3 linked regions of the Caenorhabditis elegans genome follow. The protein of the gene in region 2 purifies or fractionates together with the protein of the main gene of each other region. This does not show direct contact. Each region holds a gene or a part of one and is shown on either strand. Other genes may lie near its edges. The genes, in order: ergo-1, rde-10 and rsd-2.

Region 1 (5,570 bases), on a different chromosome or scaffold from region 2:
CATTTCCCGCGCAATTGAGGCAATACATCGATCTTCGTCTCAAACACTTTTCGCTCAGATTTTGCCAAGACTTTGCTTTTTTAGACCAAAAATGGTAAAAAACTACCAAATTTCGTAATGAGACGTTCTGAAAATGTTTCAAAAAAAGTTATGGCCGCTCAAAGTTTTGGGAAAAATGGTCAATTTATAGCTAAAATCTCAAATTTTGGCAACTTATCGGTGTCGCAGCGGCTGGAACTTGAATTTTATTAGATTGTCATCCTTTAATGTACGTTTTCTCAATTTATTAGGCGTTATTTCGTTAATTGAGATGTTTTTTTGGTCGATGCGGGCACAAACTTGTATCGTATTTGTGCCCGCATCGACCGAAAAAGCATTTCAATCAACGAAATAACACCTAATAAATTACGAAAACGTGTATTAAAAGATGATAATTAAGTAAAAATTAAGTTCCAACCGCTGCGATACGGAAAAGCTGCCAAAATTTGAGATTTTAGTAGAAATAGCCCATTTTTTCCAAAACTTTGAGCGGCTATAACTATTTTTTTTGAAAATTTTCAGAATGTCTCCTTACGAAATTTGGTAGTTTTGGAACATTTTGGGTCTAAAAAGGAAAAGTTTCAAATTTCGGTACTCCACCTTTAAAGTGACCAGGTTGCGGCGTATCTGTACTCCATTTCAAGCACATTTGCACACGTGTGTACACGTGATGTCATAGTGTCTCATTTCGGCTTGATCTACGTAGATCTACAAAGAAGAAGATCTACAAGAATCAGCGATTCGCTCGAACACTGCCCACTCCGTCTGATTGGTTTAAAAGTGGGCATAGCGAATCGTTGATTGGTAAGGTTTTTTTTTTTGAATTGAAAAAAAGCAAATATAGGCAAAATTTTCAATCCTACTAGTTGTATTTCATGCTTCTTTCGTAGTTTTTTGTTGGAATTGGAGACGATTTCGGATTTTTTAAAAAGCAAAATCTTCATTCACACTACTCCTCATTTATGCAAGTTAGGTATTCCACTCTCATAAACTCATCAGATGCTCTTTTTCTCTTAATTCTCAACCCATTAAAGGAGGACTAACGGTTCGGACGATTTTGAACGTATGGACCCAAAATGGGCTCAAATGAACGAATTTCGTAATGAAACTGCACAAAAATTTTTCAAAAATTTTTTATGGCGGTTCAAAATTTTGGAAAAAATTACGCTGATTTTGGCTAAAATCACGAATTTTTCCCATTTTTCCGTGTCACATCTGTTCGAAAGTGGATTTTTTGGAATTATCTTCCTTTATTACATATATTGGTAATTAATCTCATTTGATTTCGTCGATTAAGGTACATTTAAAGCCGATAGGTAACCAAAAATCATCGAAATTGATTACCTATCGGCTTTAAATGTACCTTAACCAACGAAATTAAATGAGATAAACTACCAATATATGCAAGAAAGGATGATAATTCCGAAAAAGTCAACTTCGGACCGATGTGACACGGAAAAATAGGCAAAATTCGAGATTTTAGCTATAATCAGTGTAATTTTTTTCGAAATTTTAAACCGCCATAAAAAATTTTTGAGAATTTTTTTGAGAAGTTTCATTACGAAATTCGTTAATTTGAGCTCATTTTGGGTCTATATCAGGGGTGAGCGGCAATCGGCGATCGGCGATTTTCGTGATTTTTCGGCGATCGCCGATGAAATTTTATAGTCCACGATAGACCCCTCTGAAGAAGGAAAAAGGTATATTTTCGGACTATTTTTCACTACTTTTCGAATTTTAAGGTATCAAGGAGTGCTTTTCGTTGCCTAATATTCCTGTTTTTATGAAAAATTATTTGAAAGAGCTCTTAAAATTAAGATTTTAAAATTGAAAAAAATTAGACGCACACTGATCGGCAATCGGCGATCGCCGATTTTTTTTTGGCAATTTGTGATCGCCGATCGCCGAAAAAAAAAAGTTTCGGCGAACGCCGATCGCCGATCGCCGATTTTTTTGGGCGGCTGCTCAGCCCTGGTCTATACGTTGAAAATTGTCCGAACCGTTAGTCCTCCTTTCAAGCAAAAAATTTTTTTTGACTCTACTCCACCTTTAAGATGCTCTTTTTCTCTCAATTATCGGCCCACTAATCTCTTCTCACTTCCAGACTAACAAAAATGAGCTATAACAACGGCGGCGGCGGCGGTGGTGGTGGCTATCGAAACGATCGTGACGATCGCTACCATAACAACGATCGGCAAAATTACCGCAGCAGTGACCAAGGTCGCTCCGGATACAACGACGATCGTCGGGACAATCGCTACGATGATCGTCGCGGCTCCAACAACGATCGTGGCTGCTACGATCAACATGATCGTCGTGGATCCTCCAACGATGATCGTAGAGGTTATCGTGGATACAACCAGGGTGGTGGAGGATATCAACAGCAATACAGTCAGGATGCCAGATATGGATCCAATCAGAGAAATGACAATTATGGAAATAATCGTGGAAGTCACGGCGGCGCGAACATGTACAGCCAAAACGGTGGAAACCGCGGAGGAGGAGGAGGACGTGTCGGTGGTGGCCGAACCGCTGCCGGTATGTCGAATCCTGGAGATCTCGTCGGAGGTGCCGACCAGCCGATCCATTCAGTTTCGAAAAAGTCGCTCAGACACAACGCCCAGGAGTTTGCAGTCCGGCCGAAAACAATGGTCCAGGATAAGGGTCTCGGCCAGAAGACGACACTTTTGACGAATCACACGTTGGTGCAACTCCCGCAGGAGCCCATCACGCTTCACGTCTTCAATATTGAAGTATTTATTAATGGAAAGTCTAGCAATAAGCGAGAACTTTGTGGGCCACGATTTTGGGAAATTTTGAAGGAGAATAAGCCCACTTTTGGCATGCCAAATCAGTACATCTTCAATGATGTGAATATGATGTGGTCGACGAATAAGCTGAGACAATCCGAGGGAAGAACTAATAACCGGAGAATGAATTTCGTTTGGAAATATGTGAAACAAATCAAGTTTGGAGGAAATATTGAGGATGAGGAGACCATGCAGCTTTTGTCAACACTTATTGATGCGATTGCAACGCAGAGAGCTCGCTTGCCGTTAGTTTTTGCCGATTTTCCATAGATTTTCAATTCCGGCCATTGGCCGATTTGCCGGAAATTTTCAATTACGGCAATTTGCCCTTTTTCCAGAAAATTTTCATTTTTGGCAATTTGCCCTTTTTCCGAAAATTTTAATTCCGGCAAATTGCAGATTTGGCGGATTTTTTTATTTTCGGCAAATTGCTACTTTTCCGGAAATTTTCAATTCTGGCAAATTGCTGATTTGACGGAAATTCCGGCAAGTTGCCGATTTTTCCGGAAATTTTCAATTCCGGTATTTTGCCGATTTGCCGGAAATTTCCATTCCGGTATTTTGCCGATTTGCCGGAAATTTTCAATTCCGGCAATTGGCCGTTTTTCCGGAAAATTTTCAATTCCAGCAAATTGTCAATTTGCCGGAAATTTCAATTCCGGTTTTTGCCAATTTTCCGGAAATTTTCAATTCCGGCAATTTGCCGATTTTTCCGGAAATTTTCAATTCTGGCAAATTGTCAATTTTCCGGAAATTTCAATTCCGGTATTTTGCCGATTTGCCGGGAATTTCAGTTCCGGTATTTTGCCGATGATCCGGAAATTTTCAATTCCAGCAAATTGCCGATTTGCCGAGAAAGAGAATGTCCGGGAAACCGGCAATTTGTCGAAAATGAAAATTTCCGGCATATCGGAAAATTGCCGGAATCGAAAATTTTCGGCAAATCGGAAAATTGCCGGAATCGAAAATTTCCGGCAAATCGGCAATTGATTCTCAGTGCAACAAAAGGCTCACTTTATTAATAATCTGCTAGAGGAAAATTTCCAATTAAAACACTTTTTTCAATTTCAATTTCCAATATTTCAGACTTGCCCCACCAAAGTACACTGTGTTCAAAAGATTAACATATCTAATTTGCGAAGAAGCGTACGAACCCGAGCTTCCGGATGTGTCACTGTGTCATAAACTGAGAATTGGTACAGACGCGAGAGTTGGAGTTTCGATTGCTATTCGCACAAATCTGAGAGCCGGAATCACTGCATGCTTTGATCGTGAGTTTTTTGCAGAGATTTCTTGACAATTTTCAGCCGACGACATCCCCGAATTAAACCCCTATTTCATTTGAAAGAGGATCTTCGAATTAGGTTCCTACAAAAATTTTAGCCACAAAGAAGAATTTTGAACTGGCAAACAGTCGATTTGAATTTTTTTTTCATTTAATTTTTTGCAACTTTATTTCACTAGGCTTGAAAAATTGCTCCAAATGTGGATTTTTGCAGGCTTTTAGCGATTTCAAGACTCCATAGAGGCAAAAAAAACACTGGAAACTTTGAAAAAAACATTAGTATTTGAAAAAGCTTGCAAAGTGATTTTGCCTACCCCAATACATCCTTAAAATCGCCAAAAGTCTGCAAAAAACCCAGATTTGTAGTAATTTTACAAGCTATGTGCTCCTCTGCTTTTAAAATTATTATATGAACACAAAATTCTGAGAATGCGTATTGCGCAAAATATCTCGGAGCGAAAACTACAGTAATCCTTTAAATTACTACTGTAGCGCTTGTGTCGATTTATGGGCTCGATTTTTTGAAATTAATTTATTTTTGAATTGTGACAGCGACATTTGCTTAATTTTAATACAGTGCATTTTTCCCCACTTTTACGACTTTAAAGGCGCGCGCATTTTCGCGCAATGGTCTCGCCACGTGCATCCCATTGATTTGTTGAGCGCGTGGCGAGATCAATGCCGGGACCATTTTGCATAAATGCGCGCGCCTTTAAAGTCGTACAAGTGGGAAAAAAATGCACTGTATGCATTCTATCAATAAATAAAAAATGTTATTACCTTCGTAAATCGAGCCCGTAAATCGACATAAGCGCTACAGTAGTAATTTAAAGGATCAATGTAGTTTTCGCTGCGAGATATTTTGCGCGTCAAATATGTTGTGTAATATGCATTCTCAGAATTTTTATGTTCCCGTAATATTGTAGCCACCTAATTGTGAAGGCCCCCCACGTTCGAAAAGCATAGGTTTTATTCGGATGTCTAGAACAAGGATGTGCGGCAAATTTCAAAAAAAAGTGGACTTGCCGAATTGCCGCAAAATTAAAAATTTTTTTTTTTTAATTTTCCCAAAACTAAAGGTTTTGATCAGAATCTTAATGAAAGAAAAATTAACCATTTTAACACTTTTTGAGCTCCAAAAAGTATTGCGATTTACCGAGTATGACGACAATGGGAAATTTGCCGAATTTGCCGAGTTGGCCATGCTCGGCAAATTTCAAAATTTGCCGCACGCCACTTGGGCTAGAAATGAGCTAAAAATTGCTGTGTTATAACAGAATTTTCACCGAATTTTCACCAAAATCGCTCAATTCCTCACTTTTTCAGTTGGTCACACACTGTTCACACGTCCAGCCTACCCACTGGTTCGTCTCCTCTGCGACATCATCGAGCACAGTGTTGTCCTCGATGAAGCCTTTGAGATGAAGTATGATGCT
Region 2 (7,754 bases):
GGGTAATCGAATTTTATTCACGGATAAGTGTCTGAAAAATCTGAAAAACTGACAAACCAAGTAAACCGATGTTTTTAGCCCGAAAACGCCAAAATATCGAAAATAACTTTGCGCGGGAATTCAAATTTAATTCGGACGTTTCTTTGATTTTTGAAAATTGAAAAAATAATAAAAAATTTAGAAACTTTTTTAACCAGTTATATTCGGTCTCTACTTTTTTCTGTCATTTAAAGCACCAAATTTTTTAAATGACTTTAAATAAAATAATTAAACTAGTAATTTCTCATTTTACCTGAAATATTTCTTCGCATCCTTCTGAACCATATCAATAATCGGCTGAGCCTGTGGCATATTTTGTGGCAATCTCATCTCCTGGAACATCATCGAATTAACTTTAAGATTACGTCCACCGAGCATCTGACCATTCATCGATTCTTGAGCAAGAAGTGCGGCTTCTGGGACTTCGTATTCAACAAATGCGAACGTTTTGTGGTGCTGAAAATGAAATATTTATTAATTTAAGACTAAAAATATGCTCAATTCGTAATAAAACTTCCGTTTAAAACATCAAATATTTGAAAAAAAAGTGTCACAGCTTTTGGAAATTAATTTTTATTCGATTATCATTTTTTTTATTGCATATTTTTATTTAAGTTGTTCATTTAAGTAAATTTAAAGCCAATAGATGACAAAAAATGACCAAAAATTGGATAGAAATTGAGATAAACTATCAAAATCTGCAATAAAAGATGAAAATCGAATGAAAAATAATTTCCAGCTGCTCTGACACGGAAACTTCTGGTAAAATAAAGGACCTTAGATAAAATTAGCTTAATTCTTTCGGAATTTTAAAATAAAATAAGACTTTTTTAAAAACTCACCCCAGTAGCTGGATCCCAGCTCATATTAATAGATTTAATGGGTCCAAATGGGTCAAAAGCCCTGCGAAGCATATCTTCGCGGATTTCAAATGAGATTGAGCCAACATAGATTCTGGACATAATCGATAAAGCTTGTGAGTACATTTGCTGCCGTTGTTGCTGAAATTTTATTGATTATTACGATAATTTCTACTTTTTAAAAATAAAACTAACATTCTCCTGTTGCTGTTTCTGCTGACGAAGAAGAATCTGCTTAATTGAAATGTCCATCGCATACTTTTTCGCCATCTGAATATCATCCTTCCGCTTTGAACTCAATTTCGATAAACCAAGGCCAATTTTTTGAGCGTCTTTCTTACCTCCAGGTCCTACGAACACCTGAAAATAAAATTTGTTTTAAAGTTTCATTAATTTGAACGAATCTAAAGTATTTACCTCTCCATCTTGCGGAAGAACTGGCATTGGCACTGACACTGCCGGCCGAAATGCCGCCACCGGCCTGTTTTCGATGTCTGCCGAGTTTTCTTCCATTTTAAAATGTCTGAAAATATGAAAAATGATTTAAAAAACACAAAAAACACAAATTTCGAAAAATAATAAGAAAAAAGTGTTGAAAATCCGAAAAAAACACGTTCAATATTCGAAAAGAAATAGTGGGCGGAGTCGATAATTGCAACCCTGGCACGGCATTTTTGCAAGTGGTGCGCACATTTTCAAGGACTTTTGCGGACTTTTGCCAGCGTCTAAAATTGATTTTTATGAATATGTCAAATCACAGATCTAATTTTAGAGATTATCAGAGGTTTGCCTTAAATATTGTCCCAATTAATTTTAAAAAATCTCTTCAGAGAGGGCATTCGAGCCAATAATGCCGGCACCTCCGGAGATGCGGTGCGCCAGAACGGAAATCCGATTTCAGTTGCAAAACATGTCGACGGCAAGAAAAGTGTCTACATGCTATTCCTACGCCAGATAGGACAGAAAAAGTAGGAAAATTTCTGAATATATTTTGCGAAAATGTGATTTTTGATATTTTGATGTTTAGATTTCTGACCGAGCAAGGCCACCGATACAATCAGAATGATCAGGCAGACAAGGATATTATGACAAGATATTATCACGTAAAAAAAATAAAGAAAAATTATTATTTTCAAGCCTAATATGTCGGATTTCAGGGAATGTGCCCTGATTTGAAGCAAAAATTCGAGCGAGAAGTTGCCGAGCACAACGGAAATCGGGGGCTTGTAATTGTAGGTTTTTATTGAAAATTTTACTACACCCTGTGGGGAAATTGCTTTAAAACACGCCTATGGTCCCACAATGACCGAATATCATGATAAAAAAATTCAAAAAAATGTTCTAGATTTTATATGATTTTTTGAAAATTGGAAAAATCACAGTTTTCACCTAATTATTTTTGAATTTCCGCCAATTGGATTTGTTCGGTGGAGCGTGCTTGCATTATTTTCATTAATTAATTTTATTTATTCTCGTTATTTCACTGATTTTCTTCATTTTCTATGTTTTTTCTTCGGAAAATGAAAGAAATAAACAAGAAAAATTAAGAATGATCACTAAAAATTAACTGAAACTTCCTAAATCTGTCAAATATTCTAATTTCAGGCTCTTCGTCGTCAGAACTCAGAATATCACAGTTTTACGCATTTTCAGTTAATTTTTAACAAACATTTCGCATTTTCTTGTTTATTTCTTTCATTTTCCGAAGAAAAAACATAGAAAATGAAGAAAATCAGTCAAATAACGAAAATAAATAAAATTAATAAAAAAAAATAATGCAAGCACGCTCCACCGAAAAAATCCAATTGGCGGAAATTCAAAAATAATTAGGTGAAAACTGTGATTTTTCCAATTTTCAAAAAATCATATAAAATCTAGAAAATTTTTTTGAATTTTTTAATCATGATATTCGGTTATTGTGGGACCATAGGCGTGTTTTAAAGCAATTTCCCCACTGAGCGTAGTCCACCTTTAAAGAAAAACTATGTTTTTTTTTTCAGAAAACAAAGCACCAGAGAGCACAGAGAAACCGTGAGATGCGCCACCGAAATCCAGATGAGTTCCAACAGCTCCGACGTGCACATTTGGAGACACTGAGCCAAACTCCAAGTGTTATAGCGTTGCCAAGAGATATAAATCACGTTCTTCACATCACCGAAGATCTCGACGCGTTTTGTCTTGCAAATCGCAAAAAGGCGAAACGAATAATGACTTCATACATTGCTCAGCGTTCTGATGATCCTGGAAATCCGTTGCTTTGCGAGGACTACACAATGCAGATTGTTTCAGTATTTCCGGTTGCCTACGCCTTCAAACCATCAATCAATAAGCTTTCATCGTATCCTGCAGAGATATCCGTTACAACATTCAATCTTAAGAATGGAATCATTCAGAATGAATCGAGATTCGTCAAATTCGATGCAGCTTGGTTTTATCCAGATGCAGATGACATTGGGCACGAGGAATTGTCTAGAAAAGCAATGGGTAGCAAAAAATTCGAAAAGTTGCAGAAGATTGTTTTAAAAATTGAAGAATGGTGCCAAAAACTTTGCAAAAATTGCCGATAATAAGCAAAAGTTGCCGAAAATTAAATGAAAATTGGCAAAACTTCACAAAAATTGCCGAAATTTGGCTAAAATTACCAGAATTTTGCAATAGTTGACGAAAGTTACTGAAAGTTGTCAAAAATTGCCGAATATTTTCAAAAAGTTCGCAAAAATTTATAAAAGTTGCTGAAAATTGTTTTAAAAATTGGAGAATGGGACAATGGTGCTAAAACTTTGCAAAAATAGCGAAAGTATTAATGAAAATTGGCGAAACTTACCGAATTTTGTCAAAACCTTTGCAGAAGTTGGCTAGAGTTTCCAGAAATTTTGGAAAGTTGTTTGAAACTCCTCAAAAAATGCCAAAATTTTGCAATAGTTGTCGAAAATTGGCGAAACTTTACAAAAATTGCCAAAATTTATAAATTTTGCTGAAAATTGAAGAGAAATTGGGGAATGTTGCCAAAACTTTGTAAAATTTCCCGAAAGTTGTCATAAATTGCCGAAAGTTGGCGAAAGTTTCTACAATTTTCGAAAAGTTGTGGAAAGTTGTTTGAAACTTCTCAAAAATTGTCAAAATTTTGCAATAGTGTCGAAAGTTGTCGAAACTTATCGAATGTTGCCGAAAAATTGCCAAAAAAATGCTATAAATGGTCAGTAGCTTAAAATTTTCAGCCGACGAACTGGGAATTTCGCCCAATGGACCCGCCGATGGCTGTGAACCATATGAAGTTTTCGAGTGGCTTCAACACCTTTTAAAACAGCATCCGAAATCTCCGATTCTATGCGATCGAGCTCAATTCAATTTTGTATATTATGGAATCAAGACTCTGGCCACTTACACTGGAATCAATGCCATCACATTCTTCCAAGAAGTCATCATTCCTAGTATTCTGAGCATTCAGGATTTTACAAGTGTAATACTCGAAAAAGCGCCGACGGATGTCCCCCGTGTCTGGAGAGATGTTGATATTTGTAATCAATTTCAATATCATTTTCTCATTCCCAGAACTGAATTGAACCTATTCTGCAGTTTTCATGAGAATAAACCATCGCCTACGAAATACAATTGCGTCAAGGCTCATAATGCAAGACTATTGTAACATTTTTTGCAGTGATTTTCAAGATAAAACACATTTTACAGAGACAATTTTTTCACTGTAATAAAGGGGAACCGGCTTCAAGGATTCGTGATTTCGCCGCCAGTTCATGAGATTTGCATTCAAGACGGGAGTGACACAAGTTTGCCTCAAACGTACGGAAAAACGAAAATTTTCGATTTTTCGATTATCCGAAAATACAAAAATGTAAAAAATAAGTTCAGAAAATTAACCATAAAAAAGTTTAAATTGATCAGAAAAAAACATAAAAATTTATTCTAAAAAGAAGAAAATACCAAAAATTATAAGCTAATTTTTGACAAATCGAAAAAACTAAAAATTTTCGATATCTCGATTTCAAAAAAAATCGAAAATTTTCGATTTTTCGATTATCCGGAAAATCGGAGAAAAAATCTGAAAATTAACCATAAAAGATGATTTTTTTGAATCTAATTTCGTCTAAATTGGTGAGAAAAAAACATACAAAAAATGTATTCTAAAAATAAGAAAAAAAACCATAATGACCAAAAGTCGGTTTTTTCTAAAATTTTCGTTTTTTTATTTTTCCGATTTTTCGATATTTTTGAGGGAAAATCGAAAAATTGGAAATCGAAAACAGAAATTTTTGATTTTTCGTTTTTTTTTTCAAAAATAGAAAAATCAAAATTTTTTTGATTTTCGATTTTTAAAAAAAAAATCATGAGAAAAAACATAAAAATTTATTCTAAAAAGAAGAAATGTTTTCGAAAAAGAAAATTTTCGATTTTAAATTTTTTCCGAAAAACCTTTTTTTTTTAAATCCAGAAAAATTAACCATAAATTATGATTTTTTAAAAATTTAATTTGGTCTAAATTGATGAGAAAAAACATAAAATTTTATTCTAAAAAGAAGAAAAAATACCAAAATGACCAGAAGTCGATTTTTCAAAAATCGAAAAAATTTATGTTTTTCCATTTTTCGATGTTTTTGAGGGAAAATCAAAAAATCGAACTACGAAATTTTTTCGATTTTTCGTTTTTTTTTTCAAAAATAGTAAAATTAAAATTCACAGAAAAAACAAAACATTCTCTGCAGTTCCCAGAAATTTCGAAAATTAAATGAGCGTCTATAGATATTTTTCCAGAATCTTGGCAAGAACAATATCCCGTAATGACGCCGAAGTCTACGCCGCCAGGCAGAGAGATACCGATGAACAATATGACGTCCATCAAGAAGGTCCATCTAATCATGATCAATACGAATTCGCATCTGAACCACTGGATTTCGAAGAAGATTCTGATGAGGAAAACTACAATGAACAGCTTGATGTTCCTTATTCTTACAGTAAGAATTTTTCTCGAAAATTCTGAATTTTGAAAGTTTGAAAATTAATTTTTTTTTTATTTTTAATTTCAGACGATCACTTCATCAGCTCATCATCTGTTCGTGAGCCAGAGCATCCCAGTGCAAGATCAAGAGATGTTGCTCCAAATGTTCAACAAGAATCTGTTGTGGTTCCGGCTCCAAGGCGATTGTCGCCACAGCGAGCTCCACGCCCGTCACAAAATAGTCCGAATGCTTATTCTGAACGCAAAAGGTTCGTCGTAAATTAAAGAAAATAAATTTTTTTTAATTTTCAGTTTTTCCGCGTTTCCATCCGAAGATCCATCTGAAGATTATGAAACCCCAATAATCAGTCATATCATGAATCGAAACGAAGCGGATCAATATTTCAATATTCTGGATTCGGTGAAACCGGGACAGAAATATAAGATGTAAGTGTATATAATAAAAAATTTTTAATAGTTTTTATATTATTTCAGAATCAAGTTCGACGACTTCTAAACGGAAACCCCTCACACATTCATTTCATGGTATTAAATATAAGCATTCTAAAATCCTAATTGTACTAATAGTATTATACATGATATACTCTGTCTGTCTGCTTGGTACAAATTTACTTCATTCTCAATTTTCAAAACAATAAATCATATATTCTTTATCTCGGATGCATAATTCCTCGACCACCATCAACCTTCAACAGTTGTCCAGTAGTGAATGAGCTCTTCTCAGAGGACAGGAATAGGATAGCTTCAGCTACTTCGGATGTAGTTCCAGGACGGCCGAGTGCGTGGGTCGTCTTGCTTTTCTCGAGGAACTGGAATTTCGTTGAAAGTATTATTACGCCAACACAAACTGCTGAGACTGCGTACTGCGCAACATATTTGACGCGCAAAATATCTCATAGCGCAAAACTATAGTCATTATTTAAATTACTACTGTAGTGTCGATTTACGGGCTCGGTTTTCGACACAAGAGCTACTCGGTAGTTGGCTCCTCCTGGGGCGCGAAGGGGGTGCGACTGGCGCGCGAAAAGAGGTGAAATGCGCCTGGCGCGAGGATAGGGCGTGACTGGAGTGCGGAACAGGCGCGCTCGGATTGTGAAAAGAGTATTCTGAAACTGCCAAAGTGTCTACATAAGATGTATTAATCAATTTCTTGCGAACATATTATTGCTTTGAGACATATTTTCAAACAAAAGTGAATTTTGTTCGTTCTATACTTTAATTGTAAACGTTTTGCAGACATGCTAGTTACTGAAAAACCAAAACTTCAATTTAAATTCTGATATGAGGTTAGAAGAGAACAATATGGTTCATCTTACAAGGAAATTGCATTAAAATCTACTGTTATCTAATGATGTTACGTTATAAAATATGTTCATTTTACCTATGCAGATAAAGTTAAGGGGCCTCAAATATATCAAGAATTACAATTAGTCGGAAGTCGTTTCAACACCATTCATCATGTCCTGGTTCTGCTACTTGATCGTTACACAACGTATATCGCGATGTCTTGAGAATGTCTCCATCTCAGATAAACGTTTTCGCTTCTATTTAGAAGAAAAAAGCAGATATATTTAGAAATGGCGCTAGCTCCTAACACGACATAATTAGAAATGCTTTTTCATCTAAATAGCAGAGCTTTTTAACTAAATAGGTCTACTTCTTCTAATTAGAAGTACCTTTTTGTTCTAAATAGGTCTACTCTTTTCTAAATATAAGCGCATTTTTCTTCTAAATATGTCTACTTCTTCTAATTAGAAATACCTTCTTCTTCTAAATAGTTCTACTCTTTTCTAAATATAAGTGCGTTTTGCTTCTATTTAGACTCGGTTTTCGCCTCCTATATAGACTCGGAATTTTTAAAAGTGAATTGTTGGAAAATGTGA
Region 3 (5,336 bases), on a different chromosome or scaffold from region 2:
AAACAAAAACAGTTTGCCCGTCGTTTGGTGTCAGGCTGTTGCGAAATCAGTTGAGAACTCTGCGTCTCTTCACCCGCATTTTTTTAGATCTACGTAGATCAAGCCGAAGTGAGACACTCTAACACCACGTGCGGTCACAGCTTGAAGGTACCGTGAGCAACTGGAAAAACATTGCACTATACCCCTCTTATTGCTTGGCCTAAAAAATTACATATCAAACTCCTCCTCCTCCTGGGAGGACACCTATTTCTCTGCGTCTCTCACCGTCTTTTGACTTGCAGCATTATTCATTTCCTGCCCGTGATTATTTCCATTTCCTCTTCTTTTCCGTGTCTCCATTTTTTGGAATATTATCTATTTTCATTCGATTTCCAACGTTTCCAAAAAGTTAGGTTTTGCTACTTGCTGAATTCATTTCAGCTGAATATTGCTGAATATTCAGCTGAATATTAAATTTGGTAATTTTCCCGAAAATAGGCTGTAACCTATAGAAGTAACTTTAATAGGATTCCAAACTCTCTTTGATAATGGAAGAATGACCGGAAAACCCTCGTTTAGCTGTTGATTTAAAATTCTAAAGATTTAAGAGTTTTTGGACGATTTTTTTCAAAATTAAAATTGCCGATTTATGTTTGTTCATGTTAAAAGTTATAGATAGATTTAAAAAAAACTCTTTTTTGGCTACAGTAACTTCTTCAATCAGAACTTGTGGCAACAAGCCTTCCAAGTAGGCAAGAAAATTCCTGCCTACTTCATGCCTACATGCCTACTGTCAAGCTATAAAAAACATGGTACAAACTGTAGGCAGGCGTGGTGTGGCTACGTAGGTATGAGAATGTGTCTATCGTAGAGGAACCGATCAATTAGCCTAGTGTGATATAAGATTAGTATTTCAAAAAAAATGTATTGGATTTCTTTATTTTTTTGTATTTATGGTGTTTTTGCCATTTTAGTGCTCGGTAACTTGTAACGAGCGCAATAAAAAATTACATTATCAGGTTCAGGCCTAAGGTCATCTGTCGTAAATCATGACAACAGAGCAAACGACCAGTTGTCTATTTCTCTATTCTCTCTCTTTTCTCTCTCTTTTATTCGATTTGAAAGTTGCTTTTTTTTTTGGTTTTTTTTTCGTTTTTTCGTAGAAAGTTTGGCACTTCTTAACGCCTCAAAAATTAATATTTAGATCAGATAATAATCTTTCATAACTGGACAGGTGTCTGAGGTATTACGAAAATTTGAAAAAAAAAACATTCTACGCGACCTATTTTTTTTTCTAATTTATAGGTTGTTCTATGGTAGACAGGCAAGTTCTGATGCCTACACCATGCCTGAATGTAGGTCTACGTGCCTACCTCACGCCTACCGGTACGCCTACCTGCCTGCCTACTCACCTTACGCAAAAAAGAAAAATACAAAAATATCCCATACCTCACGCCTGCTTGCATACGTGGTTACACTTTTGCCTGATTTCCGGTGTTTCTTTTAGTTTACCAGTAGGCATGTAGGCAGGCATTTTGTGGAAGGTTTCGGGTTCAAAAATTGTGTTGTTTTTTATTTCTAAAAATTTGTTTTTCTCGCCGGTAACCTGTTTCTCACACTTTGATCTTTTTTTTTTGTTTTTTTTTGTTTTTTCTTTGCACACAGTCAGAATGTCTTATTTCGGTTTGATCTTCAAAAAATGCGGGAGGTGAGACGCAGACGTCTCATCTGATTTCGCATGGATGAGAACGTGCTGACGTCACAACTTTTCTGGAAAAATATTCCCACATTTTTTGTAGATGAAACTGTAACGAGACAGTCTGACACCACTTGCTTGAATCTCTCGTCCCCCCGTCATTCTAACGCTATTTTTTCAAATTTTTTGTAATATCTCAGCATAATGTCCTCCTGCCGAGTACTCATCCTGCACCATGATCAAGAAAATGACGTCTTTGGCTGTTTTAAAAGGGAGAGCCACGAGTTCTTTTGGGCTCGCATCGAAGGGCAGCAACAATTGGAGTAAGTTGAACACACCTTTATGAGTGGAGATAGAAGAATGGCCGTGAAAAAACTCTAACACGGCCATGTGTCGATTTACGCAGCGAGTGTTCTCCTCGAGGAGAAGGTTTTACAGATTTTGAGTGGAAATTGTCGAGTTTGAATTTTTTTTAAATTAAACACTTTTTAAAATTATTAATTTATTTCGTAAACGTAGGCAAGTTGTTGCCCACTTCTGGGAAAAATTTAAATTTTAATTATTTTAGGTTGTTAAACGCGCTCTATTGATGAACCGTTGTGTACTCCATTTTTTCGCGTTTTTCTTACACTTTAAATTGAAAAAAAAAGATAAATAAAATATTAATCAGCAATTTAAATCTGAAATTTAAAACAATTTATCGGAAATGATCTACAATCAAGAATTTTACTGCAAAAATTAACAGTTCTCCACGAGGAGTACACATACAGCGTAAATCGACACATGGCCGTGCACTTTTATCATTTTTCAGGCCCCGGCCAGGTTTTTTCCTGACCTTCATCGAAAATGAGGTGATGACAGAAGATGGGGTAATGAAAATTGATGCCAGCACCTCAACCATCAAAGAACCTGAACCGGCAGATTGTGTAATCCTACCCACTCATACAAATGAACAGGTCGTATATTACAAGAGCTGGATAGCTTTCGGTGACAATCCGAACTATCTCACCTATAACAGAGATCTGGGGTACGCGGATTGGTATGGAATCGTTGATTGTTCGGATTCTCCACCTACCGGACCAGGAGTTTATAAAGCGTTCATTTATGTGTACGTTTTCAGGGGTTATCATCCAAAAAGTCGATCATTAATTGCAGAAATGACCTAAACTACCAAGAAAGCGGAAATCCACTTTTCAAAGTGACCGGGCGACTCAAATTTTTGGCAAACAAAGACACATCTGACACCATGATGAAACTGGAAATTTTCGAGCAAAACAGACTTGAAGAATTAAGGTAATTTTGATAGACTTTCGTGAATTTATCTGAATTCTAGACCTGAAAATGTTAATAAAAATTTCATGTGGGCTACAGTAGTTGTCCGTGACTTTGCGTCACAGTGTTTGCACACGATGATTTGTTTTTGTTTTTTTTGCCTTTTCAGATTGTTCTCATCTTGAAAGATGTTTTTTTAATATTTTAAACGCATTTTTCAAATGAGAAATCTGATTTTTCAACAAAAAATGCTGTATATTACTGATTTTACCATCCTAAACTCGTCAAATTTGATGAAAAATCGAGTATTTTCAAAAAAATTTGGTTTTGAAGGCGTTTTTCGGCGCAAAAAGCGGAATATTTCGTATTTAGAGTTAAAATATTTATATTTTTCTTTTTTTCGAGACGCAGACGACCACAGCCTTGAATTTTCCACGCGCATCCCCTTCACACACACACATAAACTTCAGTTTTTCTCGCGAAAAGTGCCTCAAGATTCGCTTTAAAATATGGAAATTAACAGGTTATCACCGAAAAAGATGAGCGATTCACAAGTGATCGCAATTATTCTATTTGACAACGAGGAGACAAATTCTGCGATCTGTTATTCTGAACAATTGGAATCTTCAATAAAAGTTCATCTTCCAGTCGGCTCTCCGTAAGATTTTATGTATTTCTAATCGAAAAATCGTGTTTTAAATCATTTTTTACAGTAAAAAACTGGAAAACTCGAATATCCGGGGTTTTTTGGCGAAATTTTGCCAAAATTGCCAATTTTGAAGCATTTTTCTGTGAAGTTTGCGTTTTTTATATGACGTTTTCACAGAGAAAATGGTTTTGAATTTAAATATTCTGCTATCTCTTAATTTTCCCTAAAAAATCAAGTTTTTTCATGAGAAATCGGGAAAATTTGAGTCTCAAGGGAAAAATCTCGGAAAAAGAGCGTTTTAAATTGAAAACGAGCAATTTTTACTGAAAAATCGGGATTTTCAGTTAAAAATTACAATTTCGAGCAAAATTACTCAGTTTCCGCCGATTTTTCCGGGGTTTTTTCTTTTTTACCACTTAAAAAGTGGTTTTGAGCTGTTCGTGAGCTTTCTCCAATTTTAAAGCATTTTTCTGTGAAATTTGCGCTTTTTAAGACTTTTTCACAGAAAAATAGGTTTTAAATTCAAATATTCGGCTATTTCTAAATTTTCCGTCAAAAAAATCAAGTTTTTAGGTGAGAAATTGCTGAAAACGGGATTTTTTTGTAAAAGATCTCAGAAAAAATGTTTTAAATTGGAAAAGAGCAATTTTTCGAGCGTATTTCAGAAAAATCGGAATTTTTCGTTTATTTAGTCCAGGAAATCCAATTTTTGCGTTATTTGATGTAAAAAATAGCATTTTCGAGCAAAATTATCAAATTTCCCATGATTTTTCTCGAATTTTCACACGAAAACCTCGAATTTTAGGTTTTTACCACTCAAAATACCGTTTTGAACTGTTCCTCAGTTTTAATTTCCAAATTTTCAGAGCAAAAGCCGGTCAACTCATACTTTTCACCGAGTACAACTACGAAAATGATACATATTTCCCTGATCCCCGGCCGGATGCTATAGAATACAGAGAATGTGAGATGACGAGAATTGAAAATGGCGAATTATTGGTTAGCTTTCTTCTTTTTTTTCGATATTCAGCAATATAAAATGGTATATTTTCAGATCTCTGCAAAAGCGGCATGTTCATCGATTGAAACTCACATTACTTATCCTCAGAGTGTTGCATTTGCTGATACATTTGGAAAAGTTAATGTTGCAGCAGAATCGATGGAACGAGGTGTCACGTATAGAGTGGAGTTGGCAATGTGTGTATTTTTATCGAAATTGGTGGAGCGAAATCTCCTGAAAAAACGGCTAAATTTGGCTGAAAATCACCCTCACAAAAAAACTTAAATTCGCATTCTTACTCGAAATAGGGATAAATTCTAATTAAAATCTAGAATTTTGCCAACTTTTTCTAAATTGTAGCTATCGAAAATTAATTTTCACCCAATTTCTCCACTGTTTGGCACAAAAAACTTGAAAAATTCTATTAAAGTTTCAGTACCGAAATCTGAGAAATATATTTTTAAATTACTTCAAATTTTCCCCAGATTCCGAATATCTCAATGAAAAAATTCAAAAAAATTTTCCTGATTTTATATTTCAACTTGAAATCGCTTGTTCACCCATGAGATTTTTCAAACGCCGAATTTTCGCGCCAGAGATGTCATGTGTCGATTTACGAGATTTGTGTATATTTACGAGATTTTCAATCTTTATCGGATGCTGATTTCCATTTTTCAAAGAGTTTTCTTCGTTTTCGTCGGTATTTGCCATTTTTTTTTTGAAAAGGTGTTTTTAAAGGG

The links.
Region 1: the proteins of rde-10 (region 2) and ergo-1 purify together in Caenorhabditis elegans (affinity purification with mass spectrometry, with the first as the bait; 2 studies listed by BioGRID). This does not show direct contact.
Region 3: the proteins of rde-10 (region 2) and rsd-2 purify together in Caenorhabditis elegans (affinity purification with mass spectrometry, with the first as the bait; 2 studies listed by BioGRID). This does not show direct contact.

Annotation. Positions count from the first base shown.
Region 1 is NC_003283.11:1,006,660-1,012,229, forward strand, and holds the start of ergo-1 (Piwi-like protein ergo-1), read left to right. Parts: upstream 1-2,143; 5' UTR 2,144-2,153; coding exon 2,154-3,094; intron 3,095-3,935; coding exon 3,936-4,120; intron 4,121-5,460; coding exon 5,461-5,570. UniProt on the Caenorhabditis elegans protein: Argonaute protein required for gene silencing in the endogenous RNA interference (RNAi) pathway.
Region 2 is NC_003279.8:3,545,483-3,553,236, forward strand, and holds rde-10 (RNA interference defective protein 10), read left to right. Parts: upstream 1-1,588; 5' UTR 1,589-1,645; coding exon 1,646-1,683; intron 1,684-1,729; coding exon 1,730-1,867; intron 1,868-1,926; coding exon 1,927-2,002; intron 2,003-2,056; coding exon 2,057-2,131; intron 2,132-2,899; coding exon 2,900-3,383; intron 3,384-4,117; coding exon 4,118-4,541; intron 4,542-4,586; coding exon 4,587-4,697; intron 4,698-5,666; coding exon 5,667-5,866; intron 5,867-5,938; coding exon 5,939-6,119; intron 6,120-6,162; coding exon 6,163-6,297; intron 6,298-6,345; coding exon 6,346-6,367; 3' UTR 6,368-6,521; downstream 6,522-7,754. Other genes in the region: Poly(U)-binding-splicing factor rnp-6, read right to left, coding at 293-495, 882-1,040, 1,095-1,259, 1,317-1,412; Y47G6A.21 (DeHydrogenases, Short chain), read right to left, coding at 6,522-6,680. UniProt on the Caenorhabditis elegans protein: In complex with rde-11, required in the endogenous and exogenous siRNA pathway for biogenesis and accumulation of secondary small interfering RNA (siRNA) intermediates, such as 22G-siRNAs derived from ergo-1 targets.
Region 3 is NC_003282.8:13,536,809-13,542,144, reverse strand, and holds the start of rsd-2 (RSD-2 domain-containing protein), read left to right. Parts: upstream 1-1,879; coding exon 1,880-1,998; intron 1,999-2,486; coding exon 2,487-2,783; intron 2,784-2,830; coding exon 2,831-2,968; intron 2,969-3,470; coding exon 3,471-3,605; intron 3,606-4,462; coding exon 4,463-4,595; intron 4,596-4,650; coding exon 4,651-4,793; intron 4,794-5,336.